Drosophila melanogaster: one gene and its partners. Changing the gene in region 1 together with any one later gene gives a genetic interaction. Each region holds a gene or a part of one and is shown on either strand. Other genes may lie near its edges.

Evidence for each region.
Region 2: of Gprk2 (region 1) and fog, changing one suppresses a phenotype caused by changing the other (phenotypic suppression), as found in Drosophila melanogaster (2 studies listed by BioGRID).
Region 3: of Gprk2 (region 1) and smo, changing one enhances a phenotype caused by changing the other (phenotypic enhancement), as found in Drosophila melanogaster (3 studies listed by BioGRID).

What each region holds. Positions count from the first base shown.
Region 1 is NT_033777.3:31,402,890-31,408,590, forward strand, and holds the start of Gprk2 (G protein-coupled receptor kinase 2), read left to right. Parts: upstream 1-2,355; 5' UTR 2,356-3,067; intron 3,068-5,701. Other genes in the region: PNPase (polynucleotide phosphorylase), read right to left, coding at 1-986, 1,047-1,466, 1,523-1,668. UniProt on the Drosophila melanogaster protein: Specifically phosphorylates the activated forms of G protein-coupled receptors. Required during oogenesis and embryogenesis; component of a signaling pathway that functions during egg chamber maturation.
Region 2 is NC_004354.4:22,851,708-22,857,416, forward strand, and holds the start of fog (folded gastrulation), read right to left. Parts: upstream 3,488-5,709; 5' UTR 3,336-3,487; exon of another isoform or gene 2,100-3,335; intron 1-2,099. UniProt on the Drosophila melanogaster protein: Coordinates cell shape changes during formation of the ventral furrow and invagination of the posterior midgut primordium, by inducing apical constriction of cells in spatially and temporally defined manners.
Region 3 is NT_033779.5:275,576-283,154, forward strand, and holds smo (smoothened), read left to right. Parts: upstream 1-2,006; 5' UTR 2,007-2,250; coding exon 2,251-2,288; exon of another isoform or gene 2,289-2,354; coding exon 2,355-2,748; intron 2,749-3,067; coding exon 3,068-3,549; intron 3,550-3,609; coding exon 3,610-4,230; intron 4,231-4,294; coding exon 4,295-4,465; intron 4,466-4,534; coding exon 4,535-5,939; 3' UTR 5,940-6,592; downstream 6,593-7,579. Other genes in the region: CG17078 (uncharacterized protein), read right to left, coding at 1-922, 1,164-1,328, 1,384-1,567; CG11601 (uncharacterized protein), read right to left, coding at 6,597-6,930, 7,079-7,572. UniProt on the Drosophila melanogaster protein: Segment polarity protein required for correct patterning of every segment. G protein-coupled receptor which associates with the patched protein (ptc) to transduce the hedgehog (hh) signal through the activation of an inhibitory G-protein.

The DNA.
Region 1 (5,701 bases):
CGTTCTCGAACTTTGTGACCAGGCCAATGGCCACACCTGCCGCAGGTGCGCTCACTGGAACGCCGGCGTCCATAAGGGCCAAGGAGCCACCGCAAACGCTGGCCATGCTACTGCTCCCATTGGATTCCAGGACTTCAGAGGTGAGTCTTACGGTAAAGGGATAATCATTCGGCAGGGTGGGAAGCAACGATCTCTCCGCCAAGGCTCCGTGGCCCATTTCCCGGCGACCCACTGGACCAATCCGACCCACTTCACCCGTGGCATAGGGCGGGAACTCATAGTGCAGCATAAAGTTCTTGGCCTTCAGGCCACCGCTATCTAAAGCAGCCAACGAGTCAAGTTTCATTGCGCTTTCCTGCGAGTCCAAGCTAACCGTGCAGAAGACCTGCGTCTGACCGCGCTGGAATAGGGCGGATCCGTGGAGAGGCTTGTACATGTCCACCTGGCAGGAGATGTTCCTCAGCTGGTCGTAATCTCGTCCATCGCAACGCAGACCCCGCTCAAAGATCAGTTCGCGAAAAATGGTTCTACTGGTCTGGTTGAACTGCTCGGTAATAAGCGACGGTTCGGTATCCGGAAACGAACTCCACACCTTGTCAATAACGTTGGAGCGCACCTCGTTAACCGCATTGTCACGAGACATCTTGTCGTGCGTCGAATCCTGGAAGATCTCTCTCAGCCGCATTTCGCACATGCTACGAACGGCTTTCCCCAGTTCGGGATCTACTTCGGCAGCCACTTCCACTTCGCGCTTCTGTCGACCATAGGCCTTCTGCAGTCGCTCGATCTCGTGGATAATGAATTGGGCCTCACGAGTCCCTTGTTTGATAGCCTTTAGAAGGTCCTGCTGAAGAACCACATTCCCCTTGCCCTCCAACATAACGACGAGGTTTTGTTTGGTGGCGGAGACTACCAAATCCAGTTGCGAAGTCTGCAGCTCCCGGCGCGTGGGGTTGATCAGCACCTCGCCGTCGCAGAGGCCAACGCTTTGTAGGATTAAAAGAGTTATAAGCGGTTACCAGTTAGATTCGTTCGTGAGTACTCACCGCACAGCTCCAATGGGTCCATTCCAGGGAATGTCACTTAGAGATAGCGCCATGGAAGCGGCATTGATTGCAAGCACATCCGGACTGTGCACCGCGTCCATAGCCAACATGTTGCACACCAGCTGTGTCTCCGTGCGATAATCTTTGTGGAAGAGCGGGCGTAGCGAACGGTCGATAAGGCGGGCGGACAGGATCTCTTTTTCCGAGGGGCCCAGTTCGCGGCGCATAAAGTTCATGGGTATTCTGCCAGAGGCGGCGTTTTTCAGTCGGTAGTCAACCACCAGAGGCATGAATCCCTGGCCGGGATTTGGCTTCGCCTTGGCCACCGCGGTGACCATGACGGCGGTATCGCCCATTTGGCACACAGCTGTTCCATTCGCAAATCTCGCCAGGCGGCCGGAACTGAAGGTCATGTTACGTCTGCGGAGGATTCAAGACTTTGCTATTGGAACTCGGAGTGGAGGCCACGAACTCACCCATTGCTGAAGTTGACTTCCACGGAGGGCGCTTCTCCGTTGGAACTGCTTTGGATTCCTCTCCTTCCTCCTGGGCAGGACAAACTTAGGCATTTGAGGCGATAGTTGAGCAGCTTCAGCGATTTCCGTGTGAAAATCATGGCCATTACCTAAAAGTGCCGGGTGATTCCGGCTGAGGCGACAGTTCTGTACGCTGTATTTTCATGGTTATTTAAGAAATAATTAGTGGTCAAAATCTTACAATAAAAGCCCTGTACGTTTCTTGAGACTTGGAAGTTAGACTTAGAGCGCCTCAACTATTTGTATTGTTTAATTCAGTTATCTCAAAACTAGAATGCCCATTTAAAACAAAGTAGAGTGTGCAACATGTGTGCGTTCGGCGTTGCCACCTGGCAAGGGTAACAACAAATGAATTATATAGACAAACTATTACACGGATTATGTCTTAGGAATAATGTAGTAAATATTAATACAGCGTATTTTAAAAAAATTAATTTCGTTTCCAATAAGATATTTAGAAGGGTTCCCAGAAAATGAACTATTAGCTTGTGTCCCCGATAATGTCAAATTTGCAGTGCTGCCAACTCTTAGCAATGTTAGTTACAGCATGCAAGAAACAGCATTTAAATTCCTTTTCAGAAACGAAGAATTAAGACGGTATGTTCTGAAAGGTCCTAAAACGACCAACAGAATGACGCGACGATGTCCAAATCGCCAGATCTAAGTAATTCAAGCTAGCTAGAAAATAGCTGAGGCATCAGCACTACACAGTCCGCCAAAATTAGTCCGTCTTTTTACGCGTTTAGAGTTTTTTACCGCGAGTCGAAGACGTCTTTCACTAACTCAACGACGGTCTTACAGAAGACTCCAATATTTTTCGAGCAGGCAATTCGCGGATCCATCGTTAATTTTGGGCACTTGCAGAAAGCCCAGTTGCGAACGTCGTCGTGTGTCGTCTTAGAAAAGCCACTCCTCCAACCGGAAAACCGCAAGAGCGTCGAGCCCTTGTTTTGCGAGCCTTTTCGAAAAAAGCTGGGAATTTCACGCCGTATTTTTCGTATCTTTTCCGTCAACGAAACGCCGCGTGTGTCGTAGTGTGCGTGTGTGTGTTCTGTGTGCCCGCCCATCTGTGCATGTGTGAGAGCGCGCCTGTGTGTGTGAATTTTGGTGAGAGCCGCAACAACAACCGAAAAGAAAACCAAAATCGACAAATGCGGTCAAATTGAAAAGAAAAACAAAAAATCAAAGAGTATTCTTGCGCAAAGCCAAAAGGCAAAGTCAAAAAAGAGCGCAAAGCCAAAAAAACGCAGATTTCCCAACGAAAAGGCCGGAAAATTGCCCACTAGGCGTGTCGCTGCTTCTTCTTGTTCTTTCAAATTGTTTATGCTGCAATTGCAGTGGTGTGCGAAAGGAGTGGTAGAGAGAGAGAGAAGGAAAAGCGTCTTATCAACGCCCGCTTTCTTATCAGAACCCACACATTTGTTGCGAAAATTCCAACCAGCCGAAACTCACAGTGAAGCTTTAAATAGCACATCAAACAAACAGGTAAGTCTCATTAATCAGCTTGAAATCACCTTATTTTCTACTGCTCCTCGGTGGTCACAACTCACTGGCTGTTCCCCTCCTTTGCACTTAAGCACTTAACGGTAACTGTAAATTACACACACGTTGGCCTTGTCTCTCCTGGCGATTAATTGCATTAATGCCGCAGGACTCGCGCCATCCCTGTCACCCCACGCCAATCGATTAAAAAGTGAAAGCAATCGGGAAATGCTTATCAGTAGGTCCTCCTTCTTTGCTTTTTAAATGCATAAATACCCATGCACAGATGCACACATGCAAGCAATCAGCCCAACAATGCACTATATGAATATTTATAGCTCATTATTTATTGTCTCGCTGTTCCCGTCCATCATTTGACCCGCTAAAGAGGGCAGGTTGGTAAATAAATGAAAAGTTATCGAGATAATCGGTGGAATTGTTGGATCATTAATAATTTGTTTATTTTTTAGTTAACCTCTGACAATTTATCAATGACTTAGTAGACATAAGTCAGCTTGTTATTTTTGCATTTACCAAGATATCCGGAAGTAACATCTATTGCTCACACAAAAATATATTGGGCATTCACAATAGTGATGACTCACTGCCATGCGTGTTCACTGATTATTTTGACTTCTAAAATCATACATTTTATATTTACGTAAAGTTTTCAGAGCTGATATAAACATTAATTCAAGATATTTATTTATTAATCACTTGCACACTACTTCCAAAATACTGTACGTTTTATGCAAAATGTCGGAATAACATCAGAGATGTGATGCACAGGAAAATTCCCCATAATTCATGAAACCTATTTCCAAAATTAACAGAAAACTATTTGCGGTACTCGAACTCAAAATCTGTATTTTTATAGCACGAACATTGGAAAAGAACGCAAACCAATTAGTGAAACCATTTTGAAATCACCATAAATCAGCGTGATTGCCTGGCAATAAATTCCCGTTTCCATTTGCAGCTGACAAATGCGAGTCGTTAAAAATAGTTTTTCCCCAAAAGCGTAACTTTCCCCCGCTTTTCAAGGGCGACCCTCGCAATGTCCCGATGTACTTTCCTTATCGCTTCTGCATTTCGAGTTCTTTTTTCTGTGGTACGTCATCGGCAGCCGGGTGTCTCTGATTGTTTGAGAATCGCCTCGCCGGCTGCATAATTAAGACGAGCTGGACGTTTAGCTGATAAACGTTTCCACTTTTCATCGGCGGATGGGAGTCAATGTGCCATTCACAGAAGACCTCTACTCTGGTACACAGATGGTGATTGTTAAAGTCCAAGATCTCTGATGTGTGACCCCATGGGGTGCCCTTTTCAACTGTCAGGTCGCAACTATTGTTTCCATGTTTCGAGGGCTTGCGTCACAGTTTATCGACTCGAGTTGCGAGCTGCGAGCTGTGAGTCCCGAGAACCCGCAACCCATTCCGACAGGATGACGTAGGCAATTGGCAGAAACATGTGTATCCTGGGTATCCTGGGCCCCGTGCAGACAACAATAAACCATCAGCGCCAACCCCATGGGCAAATAAAACCCAATCGAATATTATTATCAATGAGGGCAGGACCCAAACAACGAACGCCAGTTCGAGCGCGAAGGAGGGTTGGCCACATGCTGCTCTTCCCTTGGCAGGATATCATTGCCAGCACTTGGACCCAGCCCACTGAACTTCCCAATTCCAATTCCAATCCCGACCACGCCCACATGCCATCATCGTCGCCTTCTGCGCTAATTTGGCGCGACTTTGACACTTGTTAGCCAATATGTTTTTGGCTCGTGTTAATGGCCCAACGGGAATTGATATTAATTGCGCCGCACGCCCCTCACGCCGCCCGAACTGGGCGTGGTCGTCGGTCAATATTGTTGGTCTCTAGAAGAAAAAAAAAAACAACAGAAAACGAAAAACACAAATGGCCCGAAAATCAGCTTAAATCAATTTTTTGTGGTCGCCGCCTTTTGTTCACTTGCTGGTTTTTGGTCCAAAATCGGCTTACCAACTTCGGTGCCTGTTTTTCTTGTGACTTTGGGCTTTACAAAGAGGCTCTAAGGTTCCCTTCTCGTTCAATCTAATTAATCCTGCCTTCCTTGATTGAGAATATGGGATTTGCCTTGCCCTTAAGAAAACCAGATTTCCTCACCCTTTGGCAGCCAATGAAAACTGAAAGCGCTCCCAATGTTTCCATTTTTCCAGGCCCTGTGTTTTCCTTTCATGTGCCCTAATAAAACTAAATTCAATTAGAACTTGCAGTTCGAGTTCCTTGTGCGTGTGGGAAAAGTTGGAGTGAAATGTGAGAAAAGTTTTGCGGAATATGTCGGAAAAGTGAAAGAGGGATGGGTAGGATCAGTGGCAATGGGCGGATGGCACATGGAGGGCTCATTAGTTGCCAAACGAAATCTCCGGAGGGCATGCAAATTTAATCGAATCACTTCGAGTGAAAAGCCACTTAATGATGGTTCCTTTCCTTTTCATTTCTAATAGATGAAAAGGCATCTGCCTAATGGGTTTTGAAAACAAGCAGCGTGAAAGGTTCCTTCCTTTAGGTCCTACTAATATGAACATAACTTCCCACGGCACTGGAATTGATTCCTTATGATTCATCTCTTCCGTGCTCCTCATCGTTTCCAAG
Region 2 (5,709 bases), on another chromosome or scaffold:
ACAGGTGAATAACTAACTGAATGAATGCCATGGAATGGGCAAATGATGACGAAACCAGATAAGTAAATACTGCAATTGCACGACTTCTGGACCAGAACTTATGTAAAAGAGATGGTTAGATAGTAGCATAGCATAGCATATGCCATTGTTTTCCATTTCGGATAGCTTTTCGTCGGTGTAGTTACAATATATTATACGAGTATGTATGTACATACGGGTTTTCCTGTCCTTCTGCTCCATACATCCATACATTTCTAGTCCGTATGACTCAACTTTTTACAAGCACTCTTTTACGCCAAATGTACATATGTATTGTATTTAGTACTTCCAGGTACGAACTTTTTCGGAACTTCTTACATCAGCATTAGCCGATTTCTTGGAATCCCCTTGAAAGCATTGTACAGAATGGGAATAGGATAGATTCCAGAAATTCCAGAACAAATAATCCCCAAGTTTTTCGTGTAAGTGGAGGTCGTATATTGCCATCGGTTTTTGGTTTTCGGCTTTTGGGCCCTCAGGCACGTACTGCCCTATGGATCGACCGTTTAATGCTGTTTGCCCCGATGCAGCTGAATCAATTTTACCACGGCTGCATAGCCATGGGCACAAGGGACTCAAGAGCCTCGAAAATAATTTCGTGATAGATTCGTTTTTTTTTTCGGTTGCTGATTTCATTCCACGTTCCCGGGGGGGTATCAACATAGGCATAAATATATGTATGTCCGGAAGACAATAGCTGTATAGATAATTTGAATCGGATAATTATTTTAGGAGTTATGGCTGAGTGACGGCTATCTGATAGTCGAGGCAATCGAAGCGAACTCTATCTATATAGTATTCATACATATGTATGTATACGTACCATCACAATACCCGTAATTTAATTTTCGTGCCGTCTGTAACACTTTCTATTGCTGATAATGACTTTTGGAGCATTTTGCGGGCGTTTTGGAACTTGCACAAAAAACATTTTGTAATTCATGTCTGCGCAAAAACAAATAAAAGAACGAGTCCACGGAAAAATTTACTAAATACACACATAAATATGGCCATTTTTCTCAGTGTGCATGTCAACAATTTCCCAGTCACTTGAGTGCTTGGCCACCCTTCCAGCTCTTTATTTTTTGGACAGTCGGTTAAATGCAATTAACTTGGTTACACTTTCATGCGGGAATAAAATTTTGGTACCGAAATTCGTTCATGGTTTGCTTTTAGTTTTCCATTTTAAGCCGCAATATATTTTGCGTCCAGCGGAAGTGATCACTTTGCCACATTGGCGCTGATAGTCACCGCGTGACTTCATCGGCATTATCATCATCATGTCCATTACCAGCGAACTCATGGAACTCACCTCTGTAAACATAATCGTGAACTCACTTGTTTGGCAAATGTTTGAGAGCGAACCCCGATAAGACACCTAATGCGCCTCGAATTGGTGTAGTTCGATTGTTTTGGTTGCATGATGACACTAAGGTCAGTTGTCATCCATTGTGGTCACGTCGTGAAATTGGTTTTTGCAATAACTAGTAAGGCGCTTGACCAGATTGAGAAATGTGCACGTGTCTATTGTTGTTCAAGAAGTGATTAAAAATGCTTTTAATATTTATCAGTTCGCTTTTAGGGAAACTATACCTACTCGTCAGTCAATGGCATGAGCCCAAACATATTCATGCTGAATCCATTTGGACGCGTAATAGCTACTTCGAAAAGCATTAGACTAAATACCTCCCGATTTGGTCATTTAAGATCTCAAGAGCCAGCTCTGTATCTGCAGAATGGCTAGATTTCCCACATCCGCAGAGTCAGAAGGTCAGCATCGGGCGTGAGACCGGAAAAACCGCTAGGATAAGCCCACGAAAACGAGACATCCTGATACCCAGGAAATAATGAAGCAGGATAATAAGGAGTACCAGAAACGAGATACTGTGGGTTTCGAATCTGTTATCCAAATTTTCTGGGCTGTATACATTTCGCTGGCTTCCTTTCAATTTAATTTGCATTAAGAAACAAGTTTCGCAGCGCAAAGTAATAATGGGTTATTCGATGGGCATTATAAAACACACATAAACGTTAAATAAAAATACATACAATCCACTTACTTTTGCTGTTTTATATCCCAAAACAAAGATGCCGAAGAAGGTGCGCTGCTTTTGCTTTTAGTTGCTTCTTCTTTGTCTTTTCCCCACTTTTGTTTTTCTTTGATTGTGGGTTAATATCAAGTTGTTGTAAAAATAAATTAGCATACAAATAAATAATAAACACCACAAATTGGCTCGTTTTGAATTTCGATTTGATGGCGGTTGAGCTTAATTTTTTGTTTGGTTTATTAAGAATTTTATATGTATGTGTTGATTGGCTTGCTGGTAAGAGCCAGTTCAAACTTGTAAGATACTAAATTTTTTTCAGTTGCTTAAAGTTTTCCCGTCGCTGGCTGCCTTTCATTTTTCGCTGCAGTTGTTAGGCTCATTAGGACAACACGGTTTTGTATTCGATTTTGTTGATTTATCTATTTTATTTCTCCAACTGTATCACATGTATTATCATATAATTCACAAAGACTTTTGCGCACACGAAAAAAAAACACACTACAACAAATCGACTTCAAAAGGTATCAATGGTAACATCCTGTTTGGGAAAAACGAAAGAGAATTATTTTGTATGCAACATTGAGTGCAATTCAAAAATAATGCCTACATGTGCACCGAAAATAGCTTAAGATTGTGAAATATTGTAGATATTTAATATATATCATTGTGAAATAACGTTAACTAAATATTTATAACTCAAAGCTAAGCTTCAAATTATGGTTGGTACTAGTATTTTAAAGTTGATCTCGGGTTTTTCAGTAGGCGAATCTATATGTACGGCGCACATATATTTTTAAGATTATAAATTATCGGACGCCTGTTGCTGTAAAGACAACAACAAGTACAACGACAACTGTTTCACAATGTAGTATAAACACAAAAGCGTAGTATATTTATACATGCCTCGTAGTATGTATTTTATTTTATTCTACTTTATTTTCACTTCGTTCGTTCTCTCTTTCCTGTTTCCTTTTACAGATAAGCATTCGAATGTTTTTTTGTTTTGTTTTAGTTTAGGTTCTTGTTCAAATTCAAATTAAAATCGGGTCAAATTTAGATAAAATAAAAGCACACGAAGAAACGTTTTTAAGGGACACAATCAGAAGATATTTATGTATATTACAAATTTATATTCCCATGTTACTATTTGCTTTTAAGTTATATGCGCCACGTTTTGACCGATTGCACATGTCTCTTAAATATCGAATTTATGTTACAAATTCAATCGAAATGATAGTGTTACTTTACTTTTTTCATTTGCTACTATTGTTGGTGATTTTTATCCGCTTTCTTCCCCCCTCATTTCTTTTAAGTTTTTTTTTTTGAAGAGACTGTAGCGGGCGGACAAGAGAACACGCACCGTTACCGATCACGTTCACAGTTGTTTTTTGAATGAGAAGCGGCTTCGAAACGTGTCGTCGCAGGCGTCGACGTCGGCGCCGCAGTCGCTGCGACAGACAGAGAGTGGTCAGATATAAATATACATGTACTGTATATATGTATATGTACGCGCGTTCGACAATGATCTTAGCCGAGAGAAAAGAGCCGATGCGCGGCATTAGGGAACTCTTTTCAAAGAGCGCGCTGAAGCCGCGCTCAGTTTTCATTGCTCTTAAGTTGCAACTGCACAAAGAAATCATTTTGCTGTTTTGATCGTGCATTGTTTTGAGTATGTATGTCATTAATTTAAAACAAGAGAGAACGCTATAGTCGAGTTCCCCGACTATCAGATACCCGTTATTCAGCAAGTCCAAGTGGGACGAGACTTTTCAACATTTTTCACGAACATTAGTAGAAATTGGTGGGAAAAAATTAATTTTAATTCTCTAAGGTCTGGGCAGGATATATTGGGCGGTTTAAGATAGCATATCTTCGGCATATCTATAAATTGGAAAAACAACTGGTTTAATACAAAAAAATTAAATCATTTCTCAAAAGTGTGGGAGTGTCAGTTTTGGTGCATTAGAGTGGGAATTTTTATCATATCGATAAAAATTAACAAGAGTCATAGAAATATGGAAAACTATCAAAACATTATGCAAAGGTGTGAGCGTGGCAGTTTTGGGAGGTTTGTGGGCGTGGCATCATGGGGAACAAACTTTCGCTGCGTCTAATGTCTCTAGAATCTAGCTTTTATATTTTCTGATATCTCGACGTTCATACGGACGGACAGACAGACGGACATGACCAGTTCGACTGGTCCTGATTGATCCTGATCACGATACATATATACACATGTACATATACAAGTACATGTACATATACATATACATATATGGTTGAAAACGCTTCCTTCTCCCTGTTACATTCTTTTTAACGAATCTAGTATACCCTTTTACTCTTCTCGACAATTCTCTTTTCTTTTTTGTTTTTCCCATACATGATTAACATTTTCTTCTGTTATGTTCTCTTGTTCTCAATTAGGGAGATGCTCTCTTTTGGCCGCCTGCAAAGGATGATTAATGATGTTCTCTGCTTTTAATTTTTTCTGAATGCTGCTAGTTGTTCAATTTAAAAAGGCAGTACGGCTCTTCCTGGTAATTTTCCGTTGGCTGTTTGTTTCTATTTACATATGTACTATGTATGTATGTATGTACCTTATTAAATAAAATTTTTATTTTCAATTTTGTCCGAGTTCGGTAGACCCCTACAGACACTACTAACATTCGGAAATATGTAAGGCTAACTGGAGTGGCCGGCTTAATAAAAATATCTCGGAAAAGCTGGAAAGTCGGAGATGGATTTCCTCGAAACCTAATTGAAGTTGATAGCAGTCATGGTTTTGTTCCCCGTCATCATCATTGGGCACTGAATCGCAAATCGCACTTCTTGGTAATTTTAGCCGCCACTTGAGCCTGTGCCGGTGTTTAGGCCAACATAATGGCCAATTAAGGCCACTTTGTCGTTTACAGCGTTTCAATTTCGATTTGATTAAGGTGAATTCCCTTTATTTTTTATGCAGTGATTCCGGCTAAAATTCATGAATAAAAGCAATTTTATGTAGATGATATAGATCATTACTTTAAAAAATAAATTTACAGAGTTAGCTTAGGGAACTAAAAATGACCACAACTAAACTAAGGGTATTTTGCCAAGTGTACGAATTGGGATCATCCCCATTTCCCTATTCTCTCATTCTTCGCCGTCTTCCCTTCGTATGGACTTATCGATGCGATGGTCAAGTGTGCGGGGCTCGTCTTCGGTCATTCGCCCAAAAACTAAAAATCGAAGAAACAAAAGTTAAACAAATAAGAAAAAATACCGAAATGTGTTTTCGTACTTTTCCTTCTTCTTGCGCAGATGCTGCGTTGTTGTGAAGCAAAAGTGATTTAAGTGAAATCAATTAAAAAATTTCGTTTTCTCTCGATTGTTTGCCTTCGCTGCTGCTTCTTCCCTTCCTTTTTCAGACCCCACCCCCTTTCGCTGACCTTTTCGAGTGGCATTTGAATTTTCAATGAAAATTAATTTCTTTCTACATTTTTCCCGTCCAGCGTATTATGTCCCCTCCCCACTATGCTAATTATTTTCACTTTTTTAATGTTCTAGTTTTCACTTTCGAACAAATTTGTGTCTCTGTGGAAAAAACCCTAATATTAATTAAGAGGCGAAAACTAAAACAAAC
Region 3 (7,579 bases), on another chromosome or scaffold:
AGCTCAAAGTGCTGGTACAGCACAGCCTTGTCAAAAATATATGGCCAATTGTCCTTAATGGCCGTTATATCTGGGATCTTTTCGCTGTTATTAAAAAAGGAGCGCTGCAACGGAAAGCACTCTTTCATATATTCGATTATGACGGACTGTTCCAGTGGGGAACTGCCTCGGTAGCTGGAGATTAGTAACTCCTTTTTGTGCTCCAGATCCCTGTTAAGAGCCAGCGATTTTGCATCACCATTGGAAGCACCACCTCCGAATTTTCGTTTTTTATTAGGGATGTGGATCTCAAAGGTTCCCGAGCTGCCGCGTTTCTGGGGTTTGTTTAGGGCATTGTTACGGTTGATCATCTTGGATATGAGCGATTGCGGAGTGGTGGCTATAAACTGTCCCTCGCGGTCTTTTTCGAGTAAGGAGTCGGGGTACTTTTCAGCCGCCTGTTGGGCGACCTGCCGGAAAATCCGTATGGGAATGTGGGCGGATATTTCACGGAGAGCCTCCACCAAAACATTCGCAAGTGTATTCAACCGCTTGCCCAAACTCCCCTTTCCCTTTAGTAGTTTCATTATGTCCCCAGGCACCTTGCTCCAGGGTATCGAGAACTCCTTGAATAGAGCAGAACTCTTTGCACTTGATGGCGTTACGCTGGACAGTGACATGGTTTCGTCATTAGAGACCGTCGAATCGTTCGGGTTCGACACAATACTGTTGTTGGCATAGAAGCTGGGATCCACCGAGCTGCCGGCGCGTTCGGATCGGTTGAGGGGCGATGGCGGAGGAAGCACCACATACTCCTCCGACTCGGCGAGGAGCATCAACAGAATCTTCTCCTTGGCAGCGAACAAGAGCACGTCGTCCTCGCAGATCTCGCAGCCGTTGCTCTCCAGGACAATTGTGTTGCCGCACAGGCCGTATTTGTGAGCTACCGAATACAAATATATTATTGATATAAATTAAATAAAATATGTACAATTATTTAATTTCTATCCTAGATAAATATATCACCCATTGATCAAATTTATATTTTTAAATGCAGAAATGCTCTAAGCTTAAACCCAATAGATTCTTATTAAAGACTGTCTACTGGTTAATAACTTCCAACTGGGCAACGTTCATTCGGAATACTGGATGAATAGATACCCAATTCGTCGGACGTTCCTTACCTTTGTCGATTACATCCTTTCGAGTGGGCAACGACATGAAGGTCTTCTTGATCTTGCGATCGGCGCTGCATATGGTAATCAATACTTTGTCAGCCAGCTCGGTCTTCGGCTTGCCCTCGTCGTCGTCCTTCTGGCTAGCATCAGTGGAATGTGTCGGCTCTACGGCTAAAAGGTAAACGTTAACCAGGAAACTAGACTAGCTTCGAGCAAGTTTGCTAACCGGGGGCTTTCTCACCGCAGCTCTCTGGCTTTTTCGCTCCTCCTGTTTGTACACCATTTTCGATTGTTGTTGCCTTTGCGAGTGCGACCGGCGCTTGGTTTGCATTTTGATTCGGACTGATCGGCGCCTGCTGGGTGCTATGATCGCCGCCGGAACTGGCGGGCGGTGCGGGGGCAACGTCCATGGCTTCTATTTGCGTTTGCGCGACTCCAACCAAGCCCTGTTATCCGTGTTTTTGGACCGTGCCGTGAAATAATATTGCAGAATAGGGATGTAAAAACTACATCGATGCTTGGTGCGCTACTATCGCGGTGTTATCGATACTCCGCACCCAGTGTGACCGTCGAGCGCATGGCATAAATAAATAAGCCAGCGGCCAGCATTGCCATATAGTCAAAATGTTGCGGGGAACACCTTTTTCGTTTGCTGATGCATTTCTACATATGATCATATTTCTTATTTTATGTTGATGTTATCTTATGTTACGATCGAACAAAATAAATCCGATTTGTTTGCATATCATTCGACTTGTTGCAGCTATGACCGATAATAACCGATGCCGACCGATAACATGCAAATCTCGCTGACCGATAACATGGGTATATTTAAACTGGCCCTGAATGGTCGCACATTTGTTGCTTCAGCTTCACGTTGAGTCGCGTTTATTTTTGTTTTCCTCCTTGGTTCTTGTTTTTTTTTTCTCTTTTTTAAAAACACTGCAATCCTTCAAAGGGAACAATTAAACCAGGATATCCCGAGTCCAACGAAAGCGCCTTCACGATGCACTGACGAACCGCTGAGCAAGAAACGGGCATTCAGCCCATTAAAATTCACACAAGGCAGCTATTTAATGATTTTTATAAGCGGATGCAGTACTTAAACTTTCCGCGCATGCCAAACATTATGTGAGTGACTCGCCTCTGGCAAATGGTGTGGGCAATTAAAATAACTTGGTTATTTACAAACCGCAGGATGTTCCTGGAGGTTGCGATCTTATGCCTGTGGGTGGTCGCAGACGCATCGGCCAGTTCGGCCAAGTTCGGCAGCACAACGCCCGCAAGTGCGCAGCAGTCGGATGTGGAACTGGAGCCCATCAATGGGACTCTCAATTACCGACTGTACGCCAAGAAGGGCAGGGACGACAAACCCTGGTTTGATGGCCTAGACAGCAGGCACATCCAGTGTGTCCGACGTGCCCGTTGCTACCCCACCTCGAACGCAACCAACACCTGTTTCGGCTCAAAATTGCCCTATGAGCTGAGCAGCCTAGATCTCACCGACTTCCACACCGAAAAGGAGCTGAACGATAAGCTGAACGACTACTATGCCCTGAAGCACGTGCCCAAATGTTGGGCAGCTATACAGGTGAGGAATCTTAATAACATCTAATGTACCTAATGATTTCAAAAGGTGGGGCCGAGTCTGTATGAAAATACAGATTGTCGCATTATTTTCTGATAAGGAGGTGCATTAGAAACAAGTTAAGCGCACAACTGTGATTACTTAATTACGCTTTGTGTTCAAGCAGTGAAAGTAATATGTGAATTGCTTTATCTTGGGAAGATTCAGATATATATACATATTCAGTTGTGGCTCAAGGTTTTCTGTAGATATTATAGTATTTCAAATCCATTTCTTCAATATTCCGGATTAGCTCAACACACCCATTTTTACATGTTTATAGCCCTTTTTGTGCGCCGTCTTTAAGCCGAAGTGTGAAAAAATCAACGGCGAGGACATGGTCTACCTGCCATCTTACGAGATGTGCCGAATTACCATGGAACCCTGTCGCATTTTGTACAACACGACGTTTTTCCCAAAATTCCTTCGCTGCAACGAAACACTCTTTCCGACGAAATGCACAAACGGAGCACGAGGAATGAAATTCAACGGAACTGGCCAGTGTTTAAGTCCTTTGGTTCCGACAGATACGTCAGCCAGCTATTATCCTGGCATCGAGGGCTGCGGCGTGCGATGCAAGGATCCACTCTATACCGATGATGAGCATCGGCAGATCCACAAACTGATCGGATGGGCTGGCAGCATATGTCTTCTGTCTAACCTTTTCGTGGTGTCCACCTTCTTCATCGACTGGAAGAATGCCAACAAGTATCCGGCAGTAATTGTGTTCTACATAAATCTTTGCTTTCTAATTGCTTGCGTCGGGTAAGTTTTGAGCACTATTTTGCATTTGTATTCTTAATCAACCACGTATTTACTATGCAGCTGGTTGCTTCAGTTTACTTCTGGCTCGCGAGAGGACATAGTATGTCGTAAGGATGGAACACTTCGCCACTCAGAGCCTACAGCCGGTGAAAATCTTTCTTGCATAGTGATCTTTGTGCTGGTCTATTATTTTCTCACCGCTGGAATGGTTTGGTTTGTGTTCCTCACCTACGCCTGGCATTGGAGGGCCATGGGCCACGTCCAAGATCGGATAGATAAGAAAGGTTCCTACTTTCACCTCGTGGCGTGGTCACTACCCCTTGTGCTTACCATTACCACGATGGCTTTCAGTGAGGTGGATGGAAATAGTATTGTGGGCATCTGCTTCGTAGGCTATATCAATCATTCTATGAGGGCAGGACTACTTCTTGGTCCGCTCTGCGGGGTCATCCTCATTGGTGGATACTTCATCACCCGCGGCATGGTGATGCTTTTTGGACTGAAACACTTCGCTAATGACATTAAATCAACTTCGGCGAGCAACAAAATCCATTTGATCATCATGCGCATGGGAGTCTGTGCTCTGCTCACTTTAGTTTTCATACTAGTGGCCATTGCGTGCCACGTTACGGAGTTTAGGCATGCAGACGAATGGGCCCAGAGCTTCAGACAGTTTATAATGTAAGTGTAAATACTCGTTTATAACTTTTTCCATACGCCTCAACTAGATAATTCTTTTGTTTAGCTGCAAAATTTCTTCAGTTTTTGAAGAAAAGAGTTCCTGTCGAATTGAAAACCGACCTAGTGTTGGCGTTCTTCAATTGCATTTGCTGTGTCTATTTAGCTCTGGAATCGTAATGTCCACCTGGTGCTGGACACCTTCTTCAATTGAGACTTGGAAGCGTTATATAAGGAAGTATGTTTTACCATCCTACCAAAAGTTGCATTAAAGTTATCTGTACTATCGATTTTATAACCTTTGCAGAAAGTGTGGCAAAGAGGTGGTCGAAGAAGTGAAAATGCCGAAGCACAAGGTCATTGCCCAGACATGGGCCAAGCGCAAGGATTTCGAGGACAAGGGCAGGCTCTCCATAACGCTCTACAACACCCACACAGATCCCGTGGGGCTCAACTTCGATGTGAACGATCTGAACTCTTCTGAGACGAATGACATCTCATCAACTTGGGCTGCATACCTCCCGCAGTGCGTAAAACGTCGCATGGCTTTGACGGGAGCAGCGACAGGTAACTCGTCAAGCCATGGACCGCGAAAAAATTCATTGGATTCCGAGATAAGTGTGAGTGTTCGACATGTTTCCGTTGAATCCCGCAGAAATTCGGTGGACTCGCAGGTATCAGTGAAAATAGCTGAAATGAAGACCAAAGTGGCGTCCAGATCAAGGGGAAAACACGGAGGCTCTTCCAGCAACAGAAGAACCCAAAGGAGAAGGGATTATATAGCAGCTGCCACTGGAAAAAGCAGTAGGAGAAGGGAAAGCAGTACTTCAGTGGAGTCGCAGGTCATCGCGCTCAAGAAAACGACCTATCCCAATGCTAGTCACAAAGTGGGCGTGTTTGCTCATCACAGCTCCAAGAAACAACACAATTACACCAGCTCCATGAAGCGAAGGACTGCTAATGCCGGATTGGATCCCTCTATTCTTAATGAATTCCTGCAGAAAAATGGCGATTTTATATTCCCATTCCTCCAAAATCAAGATATGAGCTCTAGTTCGGAGGAGGATAATTCCAGAGCATCCCAAAAGATTCAGGATCTTAACGTGGTTGTAAAGCAGCAGGAAATAAGTGAGGATGATCACGACGGAATAAAGATTGAAGAACTGCCAAATAGCAAACAGGTGGCATTGGAGAACTTTCTTAAAAACATAAAAAAATCTAATGAATCCAATTCTAACCGACATTCCCGAAATTCCGCAAGAAGTCAGTCAAAAAAGTCCCAAAAGAGACATCTCAAGAACCCTGCTGCTGATCTAGATTTCAGGAAGGACTGTGTAAAGTATCGGTCTAATGACTCACTTAGCTGCTCCTCTGAAGAGCTGGATGTGGCTTTGGACGTAGGAAGCCTTCTTAACAGCTCTTTTTCTGGAATATCCATGGGCAAACCACATAGTAGAAACAGCAAAACCAGCTGCGATGTGGGCATACAGGCTAATCCTTTCGAGCTAGTTCCCAGTTACGGAGAAGACGAACTGCAGCAGGCCATGCGACTCCTAAACGCAGCCAGCAGACAAAGAACTGAAGCAGCCAATGAGGATTTCGGAGGAACGGAGCTGCAGGGCTTGTTGGGTCATTCCCATCGGCATCAAAGGGAGCCCACGTTTATGAGCGAGTCGGACAAACTCAAAATGTTATTGCTGCCTTCAAAATAGCAAGACTAAATAAGCAATTGATGCATTTACTTAAGGTTCAAAAACTCTTACAATATTGTAGTTTTTGTTCTAAGAAATCAAATTGTTAGCGCTGAAAATAATCGTACAATCTTATCTATTTTACGAAATCGTAATATTGTTATGTTCACTGTTCAACGATTTATAAGAATATATCGCTTCACTAGAATTGGAAACCCAAATGATATTTAAAACAAACAAATACGAAATTGTAGTACACAAGCCAGAGCAGTTTACATGCGATGAACATTTAGATTCTTCTTAATCGATTACTGGAACAGACTGAGCGAAACTAGAACTACGAATTACGAATACTCATAGTCATTAGGCTGCAACTTTATTTTACAGATTCATCACCCCATCTAGCTTGTAAGCATTCGAATCTCTGTGTACGTTTGTGAATGACTGTTTCCTTAATCCTGGTACTCACGCCAAAGTAAATGCCAAAGAGGATAATAATTTATTTTCATTATTTTTCTTTGCCGTGGGTACAGGACTTTAGATTGTAGATTATAGATTTAAGTACGATATAAATAAGCCTCTTGGGCACACAAATCGTACCTCAGAAAGTGCCTTCAAGTTTACAAAATTATACATAATAATTTGTGTAACTAATAAACGATTTTAAATCCTCGAGTCCTAGCCTTGCTTTAATTTCTGTTGATTTAGGAGCTTAAACTCCGGACCCCAAACGACGTTGTTGGCGAACTCCCCGAGCAGATAGCAAACCAGGTTGAACCCCACAAGTAGTGCCAAGAACACGTAGCGCAGGTATGCGGGCAGCACTTCCAGAATGGGATACACCCACTCGCCACTGAAGTAGCGAACAATGTGCAGCCAGATGATGTAAAGCAGGATGAAGGAGACGTTGCCCGTGATGCCTGCCAATCGACTCGGATAGCGGCGGAAGCAGGTAAACAGGTCCATAATGGCCAAAAGGGCCACATTCGTGTGTACCACGTGATTCAACCAGCTGCAAATATTGAGAAACACAGGTAAATCAAAACTCGCCTCGCCTGATGAACAGAAAGTTTAGACAGGCTCGAAACAAAAGAGACTCCAGCAGACTAACATTGTGCATTGTACGCAAGTTAAACCGGCGGAAAAACATAAACACTTGCCTGGGGAAAATCGCATCCAGCGCTGAGGGAAAGATGAGCTCACGGTCCCACACGTAGATGACCCAAAACGAGAGGCAGACATTGTGGGCGACAGGAAAGGCAAAGGCGGCGAACACATAGTCCCTCACCGATCGCAACATGGATTTTGAATCCCCGGAGACATTGTTATCGCCGAAGAGATCGTTCAGCAGAGCCAATGAGTGGTAGATGGCCTGTAGAATGACGTCCAAGAAGGTAAGGTACTTGAACTTGCCGCCCCACCGCGCCTTCAGTTCATCCTCGTCTAGCAAATCCGTGGGCCAATGCACCCGGAAGTAGTGAAAGTATATCCCATACGAAAACTGCGCTGCCGCCAGGAGATGGACCAGGAATCTCAGGTATTTGAAGGCACCGCTCGTATAGGCATCGTTGCAAGTGTTCAACTGGGCTTTAGTGGCCTCGACAGCTTCCTTGGCGGCGTTGAACTCGCGCACCTGCTTCTTGCTCTTGCCCATTTCCTCC